Saccharomyces cerevisiae S288C: one gene and its partner. The protein of the gene in region 1 interacts with the protein of each later gene in a pairwise test. Each region holds a gene or a part of one and is shown in the gene's direction. Other genes may lie near its edges.

Region 1 (2,845 bases):
TCAGTTTCTAGCCCGCAGTCTGTACATCTTCTTCTTTGAATTTGATAACCGTCTTCATCAATACCTCCATCAACTGGATCACTAAAATGATGAATATGGGCTTTCCCATGCTTCTTTTCTCTTAATCTATTAGTATATTCTTGAGCTCTTGTTTTCAGTCGCATTTCCTTGATTTTCTTTTCGTATTTTTTCTCCCTTCTGTGAGCCTTTCCTTCTTCACGACGTTGCCATTCCTCATCTAAACCTTCTTCTCCACCCCATTTCTTGAACGCAAAGGCTTCCACTTCACATCTAACAAATAGTTGCATTCTTGCAAATGTCCCCGAATGAGGGTTCGGCTTTTCTAGTCTATGAAAGAGATCCTCATCATTCAATTCGGGGTCTGTTAAAAAGTAATCTTCCTTACATTCTGTTTTCGTCAGTAGTGCATACTTTTCTGGATGCTCCTTAGAACACTGTTTACAAACTTGTAACTTGAACACATCATGTAGCACAGGATCCATCTCAATATTAATATGACATTCAATACATTTCGGCGCCTTTGAAATATGCTCTGGAGGAGGTGCATTTTCGTACAGCATTTTCCGTTCAAGTTGTTCCTTTTTCCAGTCCTGTAGTGTCTTCTGCTTTTTAGATCCAAACTCAGATTCAAATTCTTGGTCATCGGTAAAGTCAGAATTTGGAAGCTTGTCCTTAGGGTTGATATAACCACCATTCAAGTTCTGCATGGTGGCAAAATCGTACTCAATGTAATCTTGTTTCCTTATGCTAGGTCTGATTCTATCCGTTGGCCTTTTGTCGAGTACCGACGCATCCCTTTTACTTCCATCAACTACTCCGCTACCATAAAGTGAAGTAGTGTTAGTGTTAGTGTTAGCAAGCGCAGACGGTTGTCCATTATGATTTGGCACATGTACTGCGGCTGCTGCATTATCATCCCGATTGCTGCCACTAGTAACTGCGAGAGGCCGGGTTTTTAAAGGTTCATTCCTACTTTCTATTCGATTCAATTGGTCGCTACTCAGTATTCCCCTTTTTCTTAACCGTTCTATTGCTAATTTCCTGTTAGCCTCCTGCACAGCTCATCTCATCGTTAAATTGTTAGTAAAAAGAAACCCACGGTTAAAATACAAACACAGAATCATTTTCACACATACTAGTTTGGCCTTTTGTTCGGGAGTCATAGCGTTACGTTCGATACCTTCACTACGAAGATCCAAACTCTTTTTCTAGTTCCGATAAATTCCTTACCTTCTTTTCACTTTCCTCTTTTCTCCCTACAACTTAGCAAACGTCAAACATGCTGTAGATAGAGCTTCTATAGAAGTACAGTTATTCAAACAAAAAAAAAAAAAAAAACAAGGGTTGTGGAGTATGCCACTAGCAGTCTGCTATGTTGATTCTGCTTATTATCAACGAAGTATCCCATTATGATCTTATGCAATGCACATTCCTGCCCTTACGCTCCAGGGCAGAATCGAACCACGGCCCTCGTATAAGCCGCAAGGAAAACTACCGGTGCTATCGTTCTCGTTTGGATGATTTTCAGTATGGAAGAATTTGGATAGATCTGCAGCGCCATGGTATATAAGAGAAAGAAGCGGTAACGTTTGACACTGGGTTCAGATCTCTCTTGTCGCTCAATCAAACTAAGACTAGCCCAGACCATTATAGCCATGAAGTTTTTCCCACTCCTTTTGTTGATTGGTGTTGTAGGCTACATTATGAACGTATTGTTCACTACCTGGTTGCCAACCAATTACATGTTCGATCCAAAAACTTTGAACGAAATATGTAACTCGGTGATTAGCAAACACAACGCAGCAGAAGGTTTATCCACTGAAGACCTGTTACAGGATGTCAGAGACGCACTTGCCTCTCATTACGGGGACGAATACATCAACAGGTACGTCAAAGAAGAATGGGTCTTCAACAATGCTGGTGGTGCGATGGGCCAAATGATCATCCTACACGCTTCCGTATCCGAGTACTTAATTCTATTCGGAACCGCTGTTGGTACTGAAGGGCACACAGGTGTTCACTTTGCTGACGACTATTTTACCATCTTACATGGTACGCAAATCGCAGCATTGCCATATGCCACTGAAGCCGAAGTTTACACTCCTGGTATGACTCATCACTTGAAGAAGGGATACGCCAAGCAATACAGCATGCCAGGTGGTTCCTTTGCCCTTGAATTGGCTCAAGGCTGGATTCCATGTATGTTGCCATTCGGGTTTTTGGACACTTTCTCCAGTACTCTTGATTTATACACTCTATATAGAACTGTCTACCTGACTGCCAGGGACATGGGTAAGAACTTGTTGCAAAACAAAAAGTTCTAAGCTGCCCGACCTCACGAAATCAGTCATGCGGTAGTCCATTATAATATAACTATTATTATTATTACTATTACTATTATTATTATTATTATTATTATCTATTGTTTATATTCTCTTTAGCTTTTTATCACCTACGACGACGGATATATTCGGCGTTTGCAAAAAGTGAAAAAGGCGTCTTTTGGTGGACATGAACTCAATCTTCAATTCTTTGAAAGCGGTGTATGCGTATAAGGCCTTTTAACCATCGTGCAAAACAATAAAAGACTACCAATAACCGACGTGAATCATGTCTGCACCAACTCCATTAGCAGAGGCCTCTCAAATTCCCACTATCCCGGCCCTTTCTCCTTTGACTGCGAAGCAATCCAAGGGGAATTTCTTCTCCTCAAACCCAATATCTAGCTTTGTTGTGGATACGTACAAACAATTGCATTCTCACAGACAATCTTTGGAGCTGGTCAATCCCGGTACCGTGGAAAACCTGAATAAGGAAGTCTCCC
Region 2 (3,402 bases), on another chromosome or scaffold:
ATCTCTAAATGGATCTTTCAATTCGTGCGTGTTTTCACTGGAAAAGGACGTATACGAATCTTGCCTGCTCAGCATGTAATGGTCTCTCATTCCGCAAAGGCGCCTCCAGAGCTTGATTTCATTCCATGCAACGGGCGCCATCGCACCAACAGCGAAGCATATCAATACGGTAATGCACACTACGGTGGCTATTTTCAGGACATGTCCCAAGATGGAATAAAAGGCCAAAATTTCTGATTGATTGGATGAGCAAATCCCAGTACTGTTGTCAAGGGACACGGGAGGTACGTACAAAACGGAGGTATCTCCGATTATATTGCTGGCATTCACGGCCTTGATATTCTTCCGAACTTCATTGAAGGGAACCGAGATCAGGTTCTTGGTTGTATTCTTAACCTGGGCAAAGTCCGGCGTCTTTGCCGATAACTCTTCAAGCTTATCGTTGATTGAGGAAGGAATGTATAAATTGTGAAGCGCAGATATGGTTAAGTTGACGCTTTTGATTGACGACGTCATGTTACTGTCATCGTCATCACCTGTGAAAAAATTCTCTACTTTGGATGCGGCCTTGATCACTTTATTGATTATTTTGGAGATGTCATTCAAGCCCGTATCCAATTCATTAGCCACACTTGAAACTGTATCATTGACTAAGCTAATCAGTTTTTCTGTAATGTTAGTAGCAACGTCCACGGTACCATCAACGGCACTAACAATCAAACAGGCATAAGTGCCCAAATACAGGTCAATGGCAAAGTTTACCAGCCCCTCGCTCGCATATACTATAAGTGATAACGTCTCTAGCGTAGCTTTAACAGTCTCCTCCATACCCTTCTCGATAAGATAATTCCCCATGATACCTAAATAGTGCGGCGTGTTGTCTGTCATCTTGGAGTATAGTGAATCAATACTGTAACAATTGGACAAAATATACGTTTCCGAGACTTCTATCGCATGTTGTATGGATTTGGAGAAAAACAGAAGCTTCAGCATTGCTAGCAGCAAAACCAAAGTATACTTATTTAGCCATATTTGAGAGAGCCTGTCACCCAATTGCAAATAGCATTTAAAACCGCTCATATCATCAACGTTCACAAATTCGAAAGGGAATCATCCTAACCAAATATTTCGGGATTATCTTAAGGACTTATGTTGGTCACATTCGTCATATATATATACCTCTTGCCAGCAACAGGCCAGTTATAAGTTAAAATTAATATGTGACGCACTTCTGAAACAGTATTGAAACAGTATTGAAACATATGTATTACCCGGACTCTGCATGCTCTGTCGTTCATTTTATTTTCACCTAAACGAAAATCCCGTGAAAAAAATTTATATCGCCTTTCGCTCTTTTGTATGTAGGCATCATCGGAAATTTGCATTGTGTGAAGGTTGTGCATATAAAGGGTTTTGCATAACGGACGTTTTTCACGTACTCCGTCTGAGCATCAAGTGAGGCTTGAGTTTACGTTTGTTTTTAATAATCAGTTTTCATTCTACTATTTTCTTGCGCAATTGCTTATCAGATAGACCTTGTAAACAGCATAGGAGTAAAGACAAATTCGGTGTAGAGAATAAAAGGATGGTATCAGCTTTGAATCCCAGAACTACAGAGTTTGAATTTGGTGGGCTGATTGGTGCCTTAGGCATCAGCATAGGGCTGCCTGTTTTCACTATCATCTTGAATCAAATGATAAGGCCCGATTATTTTATTAAGGGATTTTTCCAGAATTTCGATATAGTTGAGCTTTGGAACGGTATCAAGCCATTGCGCTACTATCTGGGCAATCGTGAATTATGGACTGTCTATTGCCTGTGGTATGGAATACTGGCAGTTTTGGACGTCATTTTACCGGGCAGAGTCATGAAGGGTGTTCAGTTAAGGGATGGTTCGAAGCTTTCGTATAAGATCAATGGAATTGCCATGTCTACAACTTTGGTCTTAGTTTTGGCTATCAGATGGAAATTGACTGATGGACAATTGCCTGAATTGCAATATCTGTATGAAAATCACGTTAGTTTATGCATAATATCTATTTTGTTTTCGTTCTTTTTGGCGACGTACTGCTATGTTGCCAGCTTCATACCATTGATCTTCAAGAAAAATGGTAATGGCAAAAGGGAAAAGATCTTAGCACTAGGTGGAAATTCAGGAAACATCATTTACGATTGGTTTATTGGTAGAGAACTGAACCCTCGTCTCGGCCCATTAGATATCAAGATGTTTTCAGAGTTGAGACCCGGCATGTTGTTATGGTTACTGATCAATCTTTCCTGTCTGCATCACCATTACCTGAAGACTGGTAAAATCAACGATGCATTGGTCTTGGTTAATTTCTTGCAAGGATTTTACATTTTCGATGGAGTACTAAACGAGGAAGGTGTATTAACCATGATGGATATCACTACAGATGGGTTTGGTTTCATGCTAGCGTTTGGTGACTTAAGTTTAGTTCCATTCACCTACTCATTACAAGCGCGTTACTTGAGTGTTTCCCCTGTGGAATTGGGATGGGTGAAAGTTGTCGGTATATTAGCCATAATGTTTTTGGGTTTCCACATCTTCCACTCGGCAAATAAGCAAAAATCTGAGTTTAGACAAGGTAAATTAGAAAATCTAAAAAGTATTCAGACAAAGCGTGGTACAAAGTTATTATGTGACGGGTGGTGGGCTAAATCACAGCATATCAATTACTTTGGCGATTGGCTGATTTCATTAAGTTGGTGTTTGGCCACCTGGTTCCAAACTCCCTTGACATATTACTACTCGTTGTACTTCGCCACGTTGTTATTACACCGTCAACAACGTGATGAGCACAAGTGCCGCCTGAAATATGGCGAAAATTGGGAAGAATACGAAAGAAAAGTTCCTTACAAGATCATTCCATATGTTTATTAAGTTTTTCTACCACTGCTATTTTCTTCATTATCTATGTATGTGTGTATACATGTTATGTATTGGGTGAGTATGAGGAAGAAGAAGAATAACAATTGAAAACGCTGGAAAAATTAAAAGGGGCGGTGGTCTATCTATGCAACGCTCCCCTTTTCGTTACATGAACACATCAAACTTGTATATCCTTTGAGTGTTCTTTAATCAAGTCATCTTGGTATTTTAGTAGCGTTTCCACTACTTTAGGGACAAATTCAGACCTAACCAATCCATCAAAAGCATCAAACCCTTGCGACAAAATCGGAATATCAGACTCGTCATGCATAAACTCTGGAATTTCTAGTTTCCCGTCCGCAAGTATGCCGTCATCATCCTCGTCGTCCTTATTAGTATCCAAATTTGTCACTTTGACGTTCATCGACAACTGTAAGTCAAAGTAGCAAATCGGCTTGCCCTTCCTTTGAGATACGTTGGAGTCACCGGTGATGCTACTCACCTGGGTTAAC

Evidence for each region. The genes of interacting proteins can lie anywhere in the genome.
Region 2: the proteins of ERG2 (region 1) and ERG24 interact in binary tests that used the Saccharomyces cerevisiae proteins (3 or more experiments, as listed by UniProt).

Annotation. Positions count from the first base shown.
Region 1 is NC_001145.3:665,861-668,705, forward strand, and holds ERG2 (C-8 sterol isomerase ERG2), read left to right. Parts: upstream 1-1,676; coding exon 1,677-2,345; downstream 2,346-2,845. Other genes in the region: DNA repair protein RAD14, read right to left, coding at 1-1,073, 1,158-1,184; TOM complex pore protein TOM40, read left to right, coding at 2,632-2,845. UniProt on the Saccharomyces cerevisiae protein: C-8 sterol isomerase; part of the third module of ergosterol biosynthesis pathway that includes the late steps of the pathway. ERG2 catalyzes the reaction which results in unsaturation at C-7 in the B ring of sterols and thus converts fecosterol to episterol.
Region 2 is NC_001146.8:108,595-111,996, reverse strand, and holds ERG24 (delta(14)-sterol reductase), read left to right. Parts: upstream 1-1,585; coding exon 1,586-2,902; downstream 2,903-3,402. Other genes in the region: pheromone-regulated protein PRM1, read right to left, coding at 1-1,080; HCH1 (Hch1p), read right to left, coding at 3,069-3,402. UniProt on the Saccharomyces cerevisiae protein: Delta(14)-sterol reductase; part of the third module of ergosterol biosynthesis pathway that includes the late steps of the pathway. ERG24 reduces the C14=C15 double bond of 4,4-dimethyl-cholesta-8,14,24-trienol to produce 4,4-dimethyl-cholesta-8,24-dienol.